Linked DNA regions of Mytilus edulis. The protein of the gene in region 1 interacts with the protein of each later gene in a pairwise test. Links are inferred from orthologs where the notes say so. Each region holds a gene or a part of one and is shown on either strand. Other genes may lie near its edges.

Region 1 (10,399 bases):
TAGCATTAAAAGATAATCTGTCAGAAATCTGAATGAGGTGATCTTATCAATAAGACAGTTCAAGATAAACTGTTGAAGCCTATGGAGATGCACTCAAAATTGAGCAGTAATTCATATTCCTTTAATACATACATTGTATAAACATGTATATGTATGAATTTATTAGGCTAACAAATTTGTTAGAGAAGTACTAAAACATTGTTCTATGAGCATCAGCTTACTCAGCTTTTAATTCAAAACTTTTTTTTAAATTCTGCTCAGAAGTTCTACATGTACATGTACAAAATGTACATTGTAAATTAAAGTCATAAAAAACGAGTAACCGGTGAAAAATATTGTTCTTACAATTCTTGAACCAATGCATACAAACATCATAAACTTAGTCTTCTCACTCTTCTCTGCACGAATTTATCATTTTTTCGCATAAATTTCTTTTAAGGACATCAATGCGTATTGCGATCACCAGATTTTTACGGGATGGGGCACACTGAGGTCACTTTGCATACGGAAAATATGTCGGGGGAATTGCTTCCTGGAAGGATGCAATTAAAATAAAGTAAACTTCTTCTAAATATGAATATATTAAAGAGTTTTCTTCAGAAAAAAGTATATGTACATAAATTTTATAATGAAAACTATCCATTGAGTTAAAACATACGCATTATTTTTTTAATTTGAGGTTTCTTATGACTTTAAGTGACATGCATATATATTCGATTTCCATCCACTAGGTTAATATAAAATTAATCTCATGATATAATTGTACATCTTTTGTTTCTTCCACCAAAAGACAAAAAAACTTGAAGAATACTATAAAAATCACTATATGTCCATTGAAGCTATATACATGTATATATATATACTATAATGTACTATGTACATGCATGTTTTTGTAACATGCATATATACTGGGTACATGAATATGAACTTATATATATAATGATACTATAGGTAAGGAACATTTAAACAGCATATCCTCTATATCATAATCTCAGAGAAATTTTGAACAGATAAGAATTAGTGGCATGTTTTGAAATGTTACATGTCATCACCAGTTCAAATAATCAAGTTGATAACTTTAATAATTAAATCAATATGAAATTAGTAACAAGATGATAAATGTAGTAACATATATAATTAATAGACTAAACACTATCTGTCTGATAAGAGAACAGAACTTCTTACTACCCCCAATAGAGATCACAACATATTAATGTACTGGTCATGATCAGTAGAATAAGAACAAAAAGAATTTCAACATGTTGATTTAATAGAAAATACTGCCTTATCAATTCCATCTCAAAAGAAAAATGTCTCCATGATGAAAGATATATGCTGTATCATACTGACCTAAAACAATATATGAATGTATGTACATTGTATGTTTGATTCATTTCCCTGCTAAAAATTGTTTTGCCATTTCAATTTTCTTGGGGTGGAAATTGGGTATTTAAAATGTACAAAAAAATATATAGTGATGAACCATTATTGAATTTTTTATCAAAATCTGAAGTTGATCAGTTGATATTTGGCCTTTTTCTGCTTCAAATTGACAACTACTACTGATAAGCATACAGTACAGTACATTCAATGCCAATGAATTACTATAAATTGTCCACAAAAATGTATACATGTACAAGTAGTTTAGAGAAAAAAAATCTAAATACTTTTTTTTTAAATTTACATAATTGAGAAATGAAAAAGTGTTACAATCATATATTTTTCAATGACAGAAAAATGAATTCTGTCAGACTCCTTTTGATCTGGTGAGCATGTGTTAAGCTGCAAGAGGAAGCTGTACAGAAATAATTTGGGAAGTTCCATGTCTACCAATATGGAGACAGACAGTGAGAAACTGTCTATGTGAAACCGCATATGTGTCAGACATATCCTTTCCTTGTCAAAATACTGAGATACTTGCAAGGACCAAATTTATGCATATGGTGCAAAAGAATAAGGGGCTGGGTACTGCATAAGTGAAAACTAAAAGACGAGTCTGGTTCAGCGTGTGATGTTGGGTGCCATATCCTACACCCAAACAACTCAACTATGCACATAAATTTCCCAGCAACCATCACATGTATGCCTCTCAATACAGACATCAGGTTTTGGCAACACAAATTATGCCAAGTACCTTCGAGTCAGGTGAAGGAAAAATCTACTTGATTTTATTTTAGCTTCAATAGAAAAACTTGCAAGCACTAAATATCCTGTTTTTAGTTTTGATAAATGAAGAAATTTAACAGAGAAAGTAAGCAATTGCAATACCTGCATAAAGTTAATCACTTAATGTTTGAATAAAAGTATTGTGGCAACAAAAATTAAACATTTAAATTTTTTGGGTGCAGAACTCACAAATTTCATGCATTTTCATTCATGTTTCCTGGAGGAGGTTTTGGCTTGCTACGACACCCTGAGGCTGACCTTTTAACGAAAATAAAAATTGGCTCCATGCCCCTTTTCCGTCATATTTTAAAACGCCTTACCGTAATTTTTAGCTTCATGTAAGTCTAGAAATGATAATTTTATTACTATAATGGATTTAAATTAAAAACGGAAAAGTATTACATGTAATAAGCAAGTATAAAACAATGGTATATTCAATTAAATCCTTACCATTACTGTGCCTTTATATCTTTGTAGAGAGTGCTCTTAAAAGTGTACAAATGTAATCCTCTGCGCAAAATGTACCCTTACAATGTATCCAATTGCGCAAAATGTACCCTTAAAATGTATCCAATTGCGCAAAGAGTGCATTCTGAGAAGAACTTTATCTGCCATTTTCAAAAGCTTCAGGAAACACTATTTATACATTTGTAAATTTCAGATGTCATATTTTCATTAATCTCGATGATTACAATATATGACATCAGTCTAAGATTTGCTTTTTTAATGAAGTCATTGTAAAAAAAATGAATAAGGAATGTTCAAATGAGGTATAAATGGTTAATCTACTGCATCTATCTATAATTTTGTGAATTTCCTAGGTTAGAACAGGGTGTGCACAGAATGTACTGTTGAATATGATTTATTTTTTAGGAAAGCCTCTAATTTCTTCTCTTTTTTTTATCAGTTTACCTTTTTATACTGTACTGTAGTGATCACATTTTGTACATGTTGTTCTTTCATAAAATTAAAATTTAAGTACTGCTAATGGTAATAATGGAAATTGCACTATCATTTTAAGTGCAACAAGAGTATTGGCTGTCATAGTGTGTGAGTAAATGACAATATATAATATATATTCCTATAAATTTGCTTGAATACTAAATCATTTAAAATTAAAACAATCTACTGAATCAGTATGCAATTTTGCATGGATAACATTTGTGATTTGTATAGATTCATATGCCCTATGAATGCGCCCTTTAATTAGGAATAAATACATTTGATAAGATATGAATACTTTGTCAGAACTTTCTGATGTTTTGATGTTGCATTTGATAACATCCGACCTTGACAGTTGCAAAATATGGCGACAGAAAACATATAATTTGATTTTTTTCCCGTAGCTTCTGAACATTTTAACTTCAATGACAATGTTAACGAAACTATCTTCGCATATAACAGTTCTGTTGTAGTGTACACAAATGTATTGCCCATTATTTGACAGTAGACGGACAAGTTTACAAGTAAGCGCTGTTACCGTCTTCACCGGCAGCAGAAGCCGGTCGGACATTACAAATTATCTTTTGATGAGTTGAACAGGGGCGTGCTTTCATAAAGTGGTTATTGACGTTCAATTACTTACCTTTGTTTCTGCTACGAAAATTATTTGATCGTTCGTATGAAAGACTACAATCCCCGCCAATTTTATATTGGCCCCTTTGAACACAGACAAGGCTTTCCCCGATATGCAAATGAGTTGTTTCTAAAATTAGTTCCACTGGCTATTCCATCTTTTGAATACACCCGTTGTTATCTCAAGTGAATGTTCTGAATGTTTTGATAAAAGCAAGCATGGACTGTAAATTATACACTGCATGGGACACTAATATTTTTTTTAAATAAATATTTTTTAATATAAACAAATGCGATATGCTTCAAAGTTATGGTATACACAACAACATACTTAAGAAAGAGGGAGGAAATTCACCGGAAATATGCACCAGCTACCTGAATAATGACATCACTCACATTTTTGTCTGTAAAGGGAAATCATTCATACTCCAAGTTTGAATAGGCGCAAAATTTAAAATGATTTATTATTTGGAAATTACACCATATATGGGTCAATAAAAAAAAATCTTCTCAGGTTTTTTTTTTTATTTAGCCTATGATAAGGTAAGATATTTTTATTCCAATTAAAGGGCCCATGAATAATAGCAAAGTAATTTATTACAATGATTTTTTTATAATTGACACAATAATGGCGGGGGGGGGGGGGGGGGGGGGGGGGGGGACAATAATACCCTGTTGTGACCCTTTTCAAGGTTTTGTTAACTGTTATCTGAGGTAAATTTAAGCTGTAAACTGATTTTCAACCCACTTTGTTAACTGTTAACAGCATTTTTGTATTTGTAAACAGCCAGATCAGATCCACACACATATTAGAAAAAAAGGCATAAGGGGACGACCATTTGATATGGGGGGGGGGGGGGGGGGTCACTCAGCCTTGATAATCCCAAAAATAAATGGTTTGTTCTGTGATAGTTTGCAAATAAATTACCTGACTTGAAATGTATTAAAAATAAATAAATCAGCAGGTATAATCGAAAGATGGCACCAGATTCTTCATAAATTCATCTTTTTTCCCCCAAAACACTTCCCTATTTTTTTTAATAATAGAGGAATAAATATTATCTAAATAGACTTGAAATGTCTGAAAATTGGTTTCATTTAACTGGAGGTATATTGTATCAGGAAACCTTACCTCACTTTTATTTTATTACAGGGCCGTAACTACATTGAGGCAAATGCCTCATGTAGGAAATTTCAAAACCAAACTCTTGTCTCCATATCAAATTGGGTTCACGGCGAGTGCCTTGCAAGAAGCAAGTTCTGTTTTCCCTCAGACTTACATTTGTAGCCCTGCTTTTTCGGGATCAATAATTCTTATTTATTTGTCTTTTGTTCATTGATTGCCCTTCTGTATTCTGTTAGTGTTGCATTCCTTTTGTAATCTAGTAATTTTGTTCTGAACTTGAACATGAATTTAAAAAAAAACAGCAGCCACAGACTTAATTATGTGAATTTCATTTTTGCTTTATCATGCACATTGGTCTTTTGATGTTGTCCCTAGAAACTTAAGTCTTACACTGATTATTTTTGCTTTGAGACCAACATATTGTCAAAAAATTATTAAAACAAAACTTGCATTTTCAGATTAAGAAAGGGTCTTCGGAACACCCAGAAAGCATAATTTTGCATCATTTGTTCTAGTGCTGGTAGATTAGAAAGACTTGTATATTACAGTCGACCATTTTACTGTATGGCTATTGACACCGTAGCTATTTATAAGAGTACAGTTATATACTAGTACTACACTATATGTTGTATGTACTATATATTTACTACGTTTATTCATACATTCATTCATAATTCATTCATTCATTCATTGACGGACAATTAGAAAAAGACTTTACTCTATATACTACTCTGCACGAAGTTATTATGCATGCAACCCCGCCACTTTTTCTAGCACTATATATACGGCGAACTCGGACTAATGCGAGTTTCACACACTTTAGCACACACGCTACATAAGGGACACCTAACTTTTTCCCTACTTTCAGGTAAGCACATTTTCTTTTAGGCCTTATCATGCATGTACTTCTATCCAATTCATAGTTCAATTTATAAGGAAATTTCAAGTTAACATTTGAAATAAATGTTTATTATAATTATGTACTTTCAGTGTGAAATACATGGTTTGCAACATTATATTTCGTCACATATTCAACGCCCTATTTACGAAGATCAAGTGGCCATATTACCCTATGACACTATAAATATTATACAAAAGAGTATGATACGCATACTAATCCTGCTTCTATTTGAAGCGTACGGATACGTTTGAATCATTGTTTATGTTGCAGTTTACTTTGCGATCCCCGTTAAAATGCTGTTGTTTTAATGAAAAGTCACGTCGGTAAAATATAAATACATGTATTCATGAGTGAATTATAAAATGTCTGTTAAAACATTAGTTTGTACTGTACATTGTAGGAATATAAAACGTGTATTCGTACTCGCTCTAGAAAGCTCTGCAAACACTGCCATTATCTGGCATTTAAATTAAAGCTGTCACAAATAAATGGCGCATATTCCGACAATAAAAGAATTTTGTATTTGTAATTTTCAATGACGATTGTATGGGAGGTTGTAACATTAGTATGAACGCGGCAAGCAGATTAGCTACATCCAAATATTCAATATGCTTCGAATTGTTAAAAATTCATTTGACCTGAAATATAATATTTGCAAAACATAAATTACCTTTATAGCAATTAATAATTGGTCGGACTTGTTAATTTAGAAACAATCACTTCAGCCTACCGATAAATTGTAAAGCCTATATGTTATACCTTAGCATAATAGCTTTTGCAAAAAGACTTTTTAAACCTCGATTTTTTAATACATCGAATCTTACCCTTTGGACCATCGCACTTTAGCGTGATACACCATCGTACTTTAGCGAACAAAAACAGTCGCACTTTAGCGTGAGACACCATCGTACTTTTAAAACACATGGTATGGGTAAAATCTCTTTGTTCTTACTGTGCTATAATCTGGATAATGCACAGCAAAGGTGTACCTCAGATATACTGCACAGTTCAAATCTATTTTAACCTTTAGGGGAGGTTCCTAGATTTTGAAAGGGGCGTTATTCTATCAAATTAAAAAAAAATATATCACCGAGCGTCGCGAGACTAAAAACAATATTGACGATTTTAAGGCAAAACACGATAATTTGTCCAATCCTAGGGTGAACGACATGTTCGTCCCCACCCCCGAATCCGCCATCTGCCTTGAAATTACGACAAAACTGAACTTTGTACAAACATCGTAGTTTCAGAATAGGAAAAAAAAAGGTTTCTCATTCCTTTTTTTCATCTTAGCTTGAACATAAAATGTTTCAGTATTATATTTTGCGTACAACATAAATCTTAAATCAGTGTTTTAAAGTCAGAAAGAAAGTTAAAACAATTTTTGGTAACTTCCGCCAAAAAAGAAATGTATCTAAGAATATCCGAATAAAAGAAATCTGATTTGGACTAGTTTTAGATTCAATGGATTTTATAACGACTTCTTACACGGTGGGTATGGTTGTCCTGCGAGAGAACGTACTGTGCTGGTGATTTGGTCCTGACGGGTGCTGGTGGGTCCTGATTCTGTGCTGGTGGGTTTGTTTACATTGTATCAGAACGGCAATAAAACGACTGTTTTGTTGCTTAATTTTTCTCTGATGTGTCATAAGTACCATGCAAAGTATATTACAACAATATTATATTGCAAAAGTCGTGCAAGTTCGTTAAACGGAATTGTCCTGACGCTGTGCTGGTGATAAGAAAAACGGTCCTGGTGCTGTGCTCCTATGTCCTGGTTCTGTGCTTTTATATTTTGTTAAAAGTGGCATATATTCAAGAGCATTGATGCTGTACTGTTGTTGACTAATTAGCTGTTGTCTGCTTTCTTGAAATTGACATTGTTGTGAATCTGTTTACTGTTATTATGAGAGAAAAAATACCCCTATTTAAAAAAAAAAAAAAATGAAATTAACTGTAATCTTATTTATTGGCCTGTTAATGGAACCCTTCTTGCCCCCTTTTAAGATAAGAAAATATGTTTACGATTTTCGGGATTACGATCATTTTGCAAGATCACCAAAATACGTTGTAATTTATACAATACTTAATATAATGTAGATGATGTGGTATGTTTGTTGTCAATGGACAAATTTCCATAAGAAACCAAAGGAAGTATGTGTTAACAACCATACGTCATCGTACGACCTTCAACAATAACCCATAAAATAAAAATGTGAAAGGTTTTGCATAAATATAGAACAAAGGACTTTCTGAGCGTTTGAATCATGTCTTTAGCAGCTTAAAACACATTTGTTTGTGAACAATTGAGTGTTGACTATAAGAATGACAATAGTATTGCGGGTTTGTTTGTTTGGTGTTTTTTTTGGGGGAGGGTGGGGGAGGGAGGGGGATAAGTTAGAGCGAGGTTACAGTGAAAGCTTGGAATAGTTTCCCGTAAAATTTTAAAGGTGGGTTGTAAAAGAAAAATGTATCTTATATTAGCCTTGGTCACACCTTACCGGATAGCTCGAACGGACGCCTAACAGATAACTTTTTCTCAATCCGTTCATGTCCGTTGGACGTCCGTTCTTATCCGTTAGGCGTCCGTCCATATCCGTTGCATGTCCGTTAAGCGTCCGTTTTATCCGTTGACGTCCGTTCTGTCCGGTGGAAAATTTTGAGCATGTTCAAACTTTGAACGGACGTCCAACGGATAAAATGTCCGTTGAACGTCCGTTAGGCATCCGTTTTGTACGGTACTCGTCCGTTTTGTATCCGTTATGCATCCGTTGGAGATCCGGTAGACCAATTCACCAACGGATGTCTACCGGACGCCTAACGGATAAAACGGATATTAACGGAAGGATAACGGATAAAACGGATGACTACCGGATGTAAAATGGACAAATGCCAATTGAAATTTCTCATGGTTTATTGCCTTTAATTTTTAGATGGTTTATTGCCTTTAATTTTCAGATTATTTTGTTCATCCGTTTTATCCGTTACGCTTCCATAGCGGTGTCTGTTTTATCCGGTACTCGTCCGTTGGATGTACGTTCGACGTCCATTCTGTCCGTTACGTATCCGTTTCACGTACGTTCAGTGTCCGTTGTGTGTCCGTTTGGCATTCGTTACATGTTCGTTAGTACACCAACGGACTCCCAACAGATACAAATTTTGTCAACGGATAACTTTTTTTTTATCCGTTAGGCGTCCGTTCGAGCTATCCGGTAAGGTGTGACCGAGGCTATAGCTATTAAGAATCACGCTGTAAGATTTTTCCAAAATATTTTTTTTTGTCTAAGCGGTTATCAGGTATTTGTTTTTCGAAAATTCGATAAAACACTAAAAAAATCACTATTTTATATGAAAGGGCAAGCTAGAATATGTCAGAGAATGAAGACGAGATAACCTAGAAAACACTAAAAAAACCTAAGATTTCTTAGCTTTTTCATTTCAAAATAAATATTTTTGATAAAGAATTACGGGGGAGGAAGTGAACAATGTGTCCTACTTTTCTATATTTAAATATTTTTCATGAATAAAAATCAAATGTGCCTTGATTATAATTGAAAATGAGTAAATGGAAAAAATACCCAACTAAAATACACTTTTATTTTAATATTGGTAATATCACTAAGCTTTTAAGTTTTGTGTGTCAAACACACCATCTCTGTAGTTATGACTCCTTACTAAGATATTTCACTTCATTCATTTTTTTTCTGCATTTTTTTATATTGTGAATTCATAGAATTATTATATTAAAATGTAGCCTTAATTTATATTTAAAAAACATAAACACGCCTGGAAAGTAAAATGCGTACTCGGCTGTCTGTAATCGACCATTTTTAGACACCCCAGGCTCCTAAAAAACAAGCCGGGGTGGGGGTTCAAAGATGCAAATTAAGTACTTATATCAATATTTTATCTTTTCGTGTACGGTTTATGACAATGTCAATTACGAAATGTGCATATATCAAGGGGAAACTTCTTGCAAAGCATTATTATTTATTATAGTTCATTATTGTATTTAGTAGAAAAAAGAGAATTTAGTGAAAATAAAATCACTATTTTTGTAGAAAATTCACAGACCTTTGTACAGAGATTTTTGTTAAGTTTACCATGGGATCAACACAAGGGTTCATTACCGAGTAAACAAATCAAAATGTCTATCTACCTTGCACATTTCAGAAAATTCGGATCAGATAACGAAACTAGGTCCAGCAACATTTATAAGCAATTTAAGATTTTGACCCTCACAGTTTCCATTCACCACAAATATTCTCGTTACAACGAATCATTTTAAATACAAAAATACCAGTTGCAGCCTTTCGTTTATCTATTAATACATGTATACGGATGAAGTTATGAAAGGCAGCAGGGTCATCAGGGTGAGGAGTCCATGTCATCTGAAATAAATGCTAAGCATAGATCTAGAAAGCGACAGATAATCATGACATTAACTTAAACTCTCTTCTTAACGACTTTTTTCGAACAAATTGACACATAAAATGAATTATATAGTATTGTGGAATTTTTAACTTATTTTAGATAGGGGAGACAGGGGTTGAATGAGACACTTTTTATGTTCTTGTCTATACATACAAATCAATTATACGCAGCTTTCTTACTAGACCTAGCAAACTAGA
Region 2 (10,567 bases), on another chromosome or scaffold:
GCGTCCGTCCGTTTGCTTCAAGTTAAAGTTTTTGGTCGATGTAGTTTTTGATGAAGCTGAAGTCCAATAAACTTGAAACTTAATACACATGTTCCCTATAATATGATCTTTCTAATTTTAATGCCAAATTATAGTTTTGACCCCAATTTCATGGTCCACTGAACATAGAAAATGATAGTGCAAAGTTCAGGTTAAAATTTTTGTCAGTCAAGGTAGTTTTTGATGAAGTTAAAGTTACATCAACTTGAAACTTAGAACACATGTTCCCTATGATATGATCTTTCTAATTTTAATTCCAAATTAAAGTTTTGACCCCAATTTCACGGTCCACTGAACATAGAAAATGATAGTGGGAGTGGGACATCCGTGTACTATGGACACATTATTTCTTGTTTTTAAATACATACTTCCTAGAAAAGAAAAGAAAACTAGTATCTATTTTGATAGTTATCGGCTTTTTGAAAATGCTTTAAAAGACTCAGTTGTTTAAGAGACTTCTATTAAAGTAAGGAAGATCACTTTTAATATGCACGATTTGTATAAATGTTTCAAAGAGATATATTTGTATAGAGATTTTTTTATCTAAGTGTATCATGTGTATTATGTTTCTATTTTTTTTTTCTATTCTTATTTTTTTACACGACAAAATAGCAAAACACTACCGGAGCCGCAGCCGGTGAAATAGCCACCAACTTTTTTGTTTTGTTTTTAACAAAACATTAACTAGTTTTAAATAAACATGCCACTTATGCACCAGGTATTAATCACCTTTATTAAGATGGAAAACTGGAAAACTTGAAGAAGAGAAGAAAAGAAACTATTTTGCGGAGCTGTCAAAATCATGAGTATAGCCTCTGTCTTATTATATATAGCGACAATGATTTGTATATTTACTATAAATCCTTGATAAACAAACTTTTATTGAAATCATTTATGAATATTAATTTTGTCAGTTTGTGGACGATTGTTCGAATTTTGTCCAGAGCGATGAGTTATCCCAGAGACATGTTATCCTGACCTCTGGGAAGACAATCTCACGAAAGCAAGGAGACAATCGTTAGTATTCTGTCAGACCCTGACATGAGTAAGGTCACTTCATTGCCACCAATAAAACCTAAAGCAGGTGATATATTTGTCATTGAGTCTATTAACACGGAGGACTGGAAGTGTGATCAGTACTTGTGGATACGTGATGGAGGTAGAACAATTAAGATCAAGGGTGTTGAAATAGGTAAAGTTTTTTACAAAGTAAGAATTCCAGGTACTGAGATAAAATCTGGGCGTGTAAGACCGAGGTTTTCATTAAAATTCAAAAAGGTCGGCTATTGGTTGACAAATAGACCTACATTGGTTTTGGTTCATTACATTGGCGATGAGACGATATATACACCTATGGCACATGGTAATAGCAAACATGATGGTGAGTTCAAAAGAACAATGCCATCAGTAATTGATAAGGTAAAGGACCATGTAGGTAGTGAGGGTGCCAAAAAATTATATAGGACTATGGTATGTTCTGAACAAGTCGAGGGTAACATGCAAGGTGTAGCTAATCCTAGGAATAGCAAACAGGTAAAGAATGCACTTCAGAAGCGGCGAGGTGATCAGTTATTGAGTAGAGATGATTTATATATTTTTTTTCAGCTATCTTCCCATTTAGATGGGTTCGTGAAACAGTTAACACTTTACCCAGATTTAGTGGCTGTTGTAAGCTTACCAGAAATCATCACTCAATTTAACCAACTCTTAGATGTTAAATCTGATGAACAGCTTTATTTATCTTATGACACCACATTCAACCTAGGTGATTGTTACGTTTCGGCCATAGTATTTAAACATATTCTTTTCAAAGAGACACCTCTTATTCCTTTGGCTTTTGTTATTCATGATAGAAAATTTGGAAGTGTTCACGAGACTTTATTTAACTTTTTGAAATTTGCTGTTCCGAAAATTTCCAAAAAAAGAATTCCCATTGTAGTGGACAGAGAAGCTGGTATACGAAAAGCTATTAAAAATATTTTGCCTGATTGTCCTATACTTACATGCTGGAATCATTTACGAAACGATTTTAAGTACTGGTTGAATAAAAAAAAAGTTTCTCCTGATAATATCAGGCTATATCATCATCAGTTAAAACAGATGCTTCAATGTGACTCTGAGAATGAATTCTTAGAGCTTTCCAAAGATCTGACATCTAAATGGACATCCGAAGTTGTGTCATATTTTGAAAAAGAGCTAAAAACTGATATTTTAGAGAGATCAGGAAAATGGGTTTTAGAACAGTTTGAAGGTTTATATGACCCATACTCAGGTATCACAAACAATCTGTCAGAAAGTTATAACGCTGTTTTAAAACAAGAAAACGATTGGAAAGAGTTACCAGTTGATATGCTTGCTTTGGGTTTTCATTTTCTACAAAATTTTGATCACTACGAGATTCTTAGAGGTTTGGCAGGTGTTGGGGACTATCATTTAAAAACAGAGTTTTCGAGGGCAAAAATTGACATACACGATTTGTTCATACCTAAGAAACTCATAGCACCATCCGATATAATTTCGTACCTGAAAACAGCACACATAAATACACCACAGTTGTCGTCTCCGTCTGCTGAAACGACAGAAACAGTGGAAGATCTATCCGATTCTAAAACTGAACATAGTACACCCACCACACCAAAAGAAAAAGACACTCCAGTCATTAATACTATGTTTGACTTTCCTGCTTTTGTTAGTAGTCAGCACGCTTTGGCAAAGTATATAGTTGACAACAACCTAATCACACTTGTTCCATCTCAAGCAGCTTTCATTGTTCAAGGTCGAAATGGTAAGTATTGTGTCACTTTATTTCCGAAGGAAACTTGTCAGTGTCCATCTACTACTACATGCTTTCATATCCTTGCAGCAAAAATGAGCATTGGTCAAGAACCCATTGAAAAAAGACCAGTAGTTAGTCTAAGAGTTTTAACAAAAAATAACAGAAAGAGAGTTGACAAAAAATCAGGAAAAAAACAACCTAGGCAAAACGATTACGATCCTGTTGTAGAACCAGCTCCAGACTCGGCTTATTTAGTCAACACACCAAAAACACCTTCACAAGTACATTCAACACAGAAATCACCACAGAAATCAGCATTAAAAACAAAATCAAAAACACCACATTCTAAAAAGAAACTTCACTTTAATTTGGAGACTGTTAGCGAGGAAGAAATTGATACATGTCCTATTTCACCAGACGAAAAAAAGGATAACATAATTACATTAGATGACACACCACCAGGTCAAAAAGAGAAAACTTGACTTTCCATCTCCGCCAATTTCGATTGAAATTGAACAGGAAAAAAAAACAACCATGGATAGGTACACTTACACAAGTAGACAAAAAAACTATTTCAGATAGTAAGTGCTTAACTTCCGACATTGTTAATTATGCACAAAACATTCTTTCAAAACAGTTTCCATTAATCCATGGTTTTCAGAACACATGTTATGCTCCAGTTTTCTGTAATCAACAAAAAAAATGGCTTTCTGAGACAAGTTTTACACCTACACAGGCTCCAGCTGTACAAATTCACCATACAGGGCATTCACACTGGGTCACTTCTTTAACCAAACAATCAAATGAAGTCTATCTATTGGACAGCGTGTATGACACACTTACAACATCTTCAGAAATACAGCTTTCACAAATATATTCACATGGTAAAAAAAGGCTTTTGGTCAAGTTACCAGAAGTTCAGAAACAAACTAATTCCATAGATTGTGGGTTGTTTGCAATTGCAAATGCTGTAGAATTTTGTTTTACAAGTTTTTCAGGTGGGATACATGTAGAATTTGACACTGAACTTTTAAGAGAACATCTTGTGATTTGTTTGGAAAAAGGTGAATTTATTCCATTTCCAAAAAAAAAAATTAGCATGAAAGGTAAACCGAAATATAAAACCAGTGTTGTAGAATGTAACTGTGAGTGTGGAAAATGTGATTCAGTAGAAGACATGTTAGGATGTGAATGGCAAAAAGGTGTTAAAAAATGCAACAGTTGGAAATAGTTATCAAAAGTACCAGGATTATAATTTTATACGCCAGACGCGCGTTTCGTCTACATAAGACTCATCGGTGACGCTCAGATCAAAATAGTTAAAAAGCCAAACAAATACAAAGTTGAAGAGCATTGATGACCCAAAATTCCAAAAAGTTGTGCCAAATACGGCTAAGGTAATCTACTCCTGGGGTAAGAAAATCCTTAGTTTTTCGAATAATTCAAAGTTTTGTAAACAGAAAATTTATAAAAATGACCATATAATTGATATTCATGTCAACACCGAAGTGTTGACTACTGGGCTGGTGATACCCTCGGGGACGAAACGTCCACCAGCAGTGGCATCGACCCAGTGGTGTAAATAGTTATCAAAAGTACCAGGATTATAATTTTATACGCCAGACGCGCGTTTCGTCTACATAAGACTCATCGGTGACGCTCAGATCAAAATAGTTAAAAAGCCAAACAAATACAAAGTTGAAGAGCATTGATGACCCAAAATTCCAAAAAGTTGTGCCAAATACGGCTAAGGTAATCTACTCCTGGGGTAAGAAAATCCTTAGTTTTTCGAATAATTCAAAGTTTTGTAAACAGAAAATTTATAAAAATGACCATATAATGGAAACACTTTTCATGTACCGGATTAAAAGATGGTGACACATTCCTTTGCTCTAAACACATTACTAATTAGTGAATAAACACCTTTGATGATTTGACACCAATCAGTGACTTTGAAGTTTTTATTACTGTCAAAACTTAATTTGGGATATTATAGTTTTTATTTTATTTGGTTTTTATTGTTTTGCATGATTATTTATTTTATATATATGTATGTGTATAATTGAAATGTTTTTGATTAATAAAATATAAGCCCATGCCCTTTCAACGATATGTCTGCTGCCTTTAATAAATAAATCTGAAAATAGATCAAATTATTCAACATAGCAAATAAGTAAATATTATTTAAATAAACACACAGATAATTGTATTTTCTTTCTTTCATATTTCCATAAAGCTGAATATTCGAACTTTCCTATAAACATGATTGTTCCTGCCAGACATTAATTTTGAAGAAAAGATTAATTTGATTTTAAGCGAATTTCTACCAATTTTTTTACGCATAAGGCAACTGTCCTGGCAGATTTTTTTTATGTTAATGAAATAAAAGTCCATATTTTTTTATATTTTCTGGAAGCTTATACTCTAAACTTTACAATGCACCTACTTTTGTTTACCAGACATTTATTTTGAAGAAGATATTAAACTTTATATTATGACCTTAGACTAATTTCAACAAAATTTCTGACGTAATAGTCTACTGTCCCGGCAGATTTTCCTACCTTTAAAAGACGAAAAAAATATTGAATTGTAGATTTTAGAAATAAAAGTTTGTTAAACTTTATTATCATACAAAAATAATATGCCAGACAGTTGATTTGGAGAATTTATTTCAATTATAAGTAAAAAATTCTCGGCAATTTCAGCCGTTTTTAGCTTAAAATTTAATGGAGTAGGCTACTGTCCTGGCAGATTTTTTTTACGTTAATGACATAAAAATTCATATAATTTTATATTATCATAAAGCGTATATTCTAAACTTTCCAATGAACTAACATTTGTTTACCAGACATTTATTTTGAAGAAGATATTCAACTTTATATTTTGATCCTGAACTAATTTCAACAAACTTTCTAATGTAAAAGTCTACTGTCCTGGCAGATTTTTTTACCTTTAAGAGATGGAAAAAAAATAAAATTATAGATTTTTATAATTGATATTCCATAAACTTTACAATCGTACCAAAATATTATGCCAGACAGTTGTTTTGGAGAAAATATTCCAATTATAAGTAAACTTTTCACGGCAATTTCAGCCATTTTTTTCTTAAAATATAACTGTCCTGGCAGATTTTTTCTTACTTCTTAATTTTTTTTATATGTTTTTTTTATTAATAATGTTAGTAAATACTTTCTTCTTTATTATACAATTAAAATTTTAACCATGTGTTGAGTAAAACAAAAGTTACAGATAAAAACGTATCGAAAAAAAGTGTCCTGGTTTTATCTGTCCTGTTAATAGACCTTCCCTCCAAGGGGAAACAACTGCAACCAGGAAGTCATGGCGTCGATAAATGTTGAACCGCTTCATTTAGAAAAAGGTAAATTACGATATCAAAGCATATGTTGCAATGATAAACATTGTGTAGAGCGAAACAGAAAAAAAAAGCCTTTTACACCTTTGAAAGATATTTAACGTTTTTGGTTTTGTGTAACTAACTAACTAACTAACTAATTTTATTCAGTATAGAGGGGGGGCAAGGGGGTCCCAATAACAGCAAAACAGCAAATTGATTTGGCTCATAACAGATAACAAGGAATTAAAATGGACAAAAACAGATAACAGTAAATGAAATATTAAAATAATTCGGTCTTTGACAAATCAGTATTTCTTATTGCGGATATAATCCTTTGTAATGCGTTCCATTTTTTATGACTATGTTTTTAGTATTAATTTATGTAACTAGAATGTGTTTAAATTACTCCTCAAATAATATTTTTTATACGCTCGTTTACAGAACGTATTATGGTATACTGTTGTCCGTCTGTTGTCAACATGTCGGACATTAACTCAAAAACTCTTTAACCATTTGCATTAAACTTTGGGAAATTGTTTATATCTATTGACGTGAGCTCCCTTTTTTTTTTCTTTTTTTTTTTTTATAAATTTTAGATTTTAAGTTTCTGGATAATGGGTTTTTATTCAATAAAATTGGTGGTTTTTTTTCAGTCTTCTGATAATATCTCAAAAATGCTTTCACAAAGCAAGGAATTTTGTTGAATTAACATGAGGTAACTTTCAATTTTTATAAATTTTAGATTTTACGTTTCCGAGTTAACGGGTTTTATTAATTAAAAAGGGGTGATTTTCCAGTTTTCAGACATTAACTCAAAAATGTTTTCAGCAGTTCTCATGAATTGTTGGTGTATTGTTTATATATATTGACTGAAGCTCCCTTTGTTGCTAATCAAAAAAGTGACCTAAAAGAGTTTGAATATTCTGAATTTTTCTAAATGACCATTTAATGAGGTGTGTGATTTTTTCTTAATAAAACTATGAGGCGAAGTGGTATATAGAGTAGAAAAATCAAAAGCACCAATTATAAGCATGCAATTTATCAAGTACTTCGAACGAATTTTGACACTCTAAAAGCAATTAATTCCACTATTTTCAAAGGCCTTTTTTGAACAATTTTTTATCAGCTGAGGTTTTTGATTGTACCAAGTGTACTAGTAAGTAGAATACATAGTTTAGTAGGGAAACAATGGCTTGAAACGAAATAAATCTTTGTTTGTAATGAGTTATGTGCAGCTTCGGACCCAAGTACATGGTTGGAACTTTCATTGTACAATGCATTTGGTTCTGCTTTGAAAAGAATCACAGAGCTGAGTCTATGTACAATATTATATAAAAGGTTAAGTGGTTGTTAGGACCTAGTCCTTAATTGAGATCCTTGTCAGATATTCCTGGCCATATGTTTTCCTTTTTGTCATATTAAAAATTGTTTTAATTTAATATGTTCGTACGGAAAACAAGGAACATTATTCTCATACAAAAAATTAAGATAATTCTAAATACACATTCATAAAAAAAATGGAATTTATTACAAAGGATAATCATAATTGTCCTGGACCTCACTTCTGTGATGGGTATATGTTAATGGAATCCTTCTCTGAATACGGGACAAACATATTAGTAGTGGTAGACCCCAATGGCCAATGATCTTCAATTTATACCGAATATTGACTGTCAAAAAAAATGCTAACATTCCAATTTTCAATAACAGTTAACAGCAAATACATTATCACAATAACAGATAACAAAAAAACTAAAAGCCCAATAACAGCTAACAAAGAATAAGACAATAACAGCTAACAGCAAATATATTTTCAAAATAACAGATAACAAAGAATAAAATTGCCCCATAACAGCATAACAGTTAAACCCCTTGCCCCCACCCCCCCCCCCACCCCCACCCCCACCCCCAGTATAAAATCCAGTACAAAAGGATCATTGCTGAAACACATAAACACATATAAAAAACATATACAAAACAAAAATAAAACATAACAGACAACAATTTTGACACTTATAACAAGCAAAAGACAAAACTCACATTTCAATATTATGCAATTATTCCCACTGATGAATGTCTAATCAAAATACATTTGTCTATATATATAAGAAAACTGGTGAGAACATCAGTCTCCGAACAGTTCATTAAATATTTAAATTTATCAAAATTATCTAAATTGCAAAAACATGGTATAATATTAACAATGTCATCATAAAACATTTCCCTCTCCTCGTGATAGAGGTTGCATTCACATATATATGAAATGAAACTCATCTTCAATTTTGTTATCAATACAATGTGTACATATTCTTTGATCCAAAGGCGTTTTATTATATCTGCCTTTTTCAATGTGTAAACTGTGGTTAGAAATTCTTAATTTACATAATTGTCTAACATATTGTTTTGGGATATTTAACTTTGTATAAGTCTCAGGTTTATATTCCTCTTTTAACTTGTAATATGTTCGTAGTTTGTTTTGCTTTTCATCTGACAAACATGAGAAAAAGTAATTTCCATATCTTTCTTGTAATATCTTTTTCACTGCAGATATAAGTTTTCCTTCTGACATAGTTCCTTTATTATTCCAAACATGGTCAAAATTAATTAATTTTAGAAACTTAAAAATGTGTTTATTGAAGGTACATGGAAAGGTACAATCAACTTTTTTGATTGACTTATATGCTAATTTTGAAAAATTCAAAAGAGGGTCTTTATACAAATATAGCCAGTATTTAAGAGATTGCAAAATAACAAATATAGAGATTGGATAACGACCAAGTTCTGCCATACTGGCAATATTAGGAGCATATTTAGTGGCACCAAGTACATATTTACAATATCGAATGTGAACCTTTTCAGGAGCAAAATTTAAAAAAGTTTTTTCTAAATCATCATTTGAACCTTGTGTTAATCTTTTGTCCAGGTTAAGAATGTACGGACCCCACAATTCACTTCCATAGAGAAGGACTGGTTTTACACAGGAGTCAAAAAGTTTTAAAAGCAAAGGTGTATTATTATGTGTACAGTGAAATTTACGTTTAATCATGAAAATTACTTTAAGCATGTTAAGTGCTTTCTTACTAAGATCTTCAACTGCAGTACTGAAAGAACCAGATGCTCTCATTACAATACCTAGGTATTTATACTCTTGAACACTTTTCATCAGATTTTGCTCAAAATAAAAATTACAGTCTTTCAGTAATTTACCTGATTTGTTAAATACTATTATTTGAGTTTTTTCTATATTCATTGATAATTGCCATTTTTAAAGCAATTGCTTTTATGCCGTCGCGTATGGCCATCTTTGTGACCCAGATCAGAGACTCCGCCCAGATCAAGCCATAGTATTTTGTTAAACAGGCTCCTGGTCAGTCATTCTTTAACACCTATGTATGTTTTCTAATGCAATACATAGCTTGAAACTTTAAAAAAAAGTTAGTGGGTTTAAGAAGTTTCAGAATATGTTCTTGTAGATGTATTTTTGTATTTAAAGGGTCAACCGTTTGACTATCAAATAACATAGAAGTCCGAGTGAAAAAAGTACATTTTTATAAATGCGATTCCGTTTTCCGCCGTTCGTACGATGTTTCAACAAAATATGGATTCATTTCAGTTGTTGATTTAGTATTGAAAATTTAACTGAATTATCTCCTAATAAATACGGTTTTTTATGTTTAATTTGTGTTTCTTTTTTCAGGTGCTCTTGTTCATTCATAAAATTATCGTTCATTCATACATTTATCGTAAAATCAAAATCACTACACAGGTTAATGCGTAGTGTCAAATTATTACCTGTAATCTAAAAATAGACAAACTTTATTTGCGCAAATAATTTAGCGGAACGAAACCCTTGTTGAAAACACATACAGTCAGAGCTCTGACATAAACAAGTCAGAATAAAATGACTTCCATAGGTCAGATATAATTTGATGTAAGTGTTGTCTCCCTTCTTGCACTCAACAGAATATGACTTGTACAGGTCAGTTTATGTCAGACTTTAATTTATCATAAAATGACTTCCACAGGTCAGCTTTTGCATAAAATATTGTGACTTAATATCTTCATATTCTTATAAGATTTATGTCCCTTTTTAATGCATTTTGACTTAGAGAGGTCATTTTTGTTCTGACTTGAAGCAGTCATTACTACCACTTTGTTATCAATCTCCATAAAATATAGTGAATACTAGTTTCGAATCAAAGAGTTTAAAAAGTGGGGCTCATCATACCTTCTTCTTTCCAGAATCTTAACATAATATTTTTTTCTCATCAAATTCAATCATTTCAAAATACAAACAAAAACCAAAGCAGAAAAAATGGATCATACAATTTTCTGTCAATATCAAAAGATTTATAAAATACAATATTGGATACATTTACTAGTACCATGACAATACT

Evidence for each region. The genes of interacting proteins can lie anywhere in the genome.
Region 2: the proteins of alpha-adducin-like (region 1) and protein lin-7 homolog C-like interact in a two-hybrid assay, tested with the Caenorhabditis elegans proteins (3 studies listed by BioGRID). The link is inferred for Mytilus edulis from reciprocal best matches to the Caenorhabditis elegans genes add-1 and lin-7.

Annotation. Positions count from the first base shown.
Region 1 is NC_092347.1:57,416,255-57,426,653, reverse strand, and holds the start of alpha-adducin-like, read right to left. Parts: upstream 4,084-10,399; 5' UTR 3,752-4,083; intron 1-3,751. UniProt on the Caenorhabditis elegans protein: Membrane-cytoskeleton-associated protein that promotes the assembly of the spectrin-actin network. Plays a role in time-dependent memmory loss and the retention of conditioned behavior over time.
Region 2 is NC_092350.1:93,078,110-93,088,676, forward strand, and holds the start of protein lin-7 homolog C-like, read left to right. Parts: upstream 1-6,121; 5' UTR 6,122-6,154; coding exon 6,155-6,194; intron 6,195-10,567.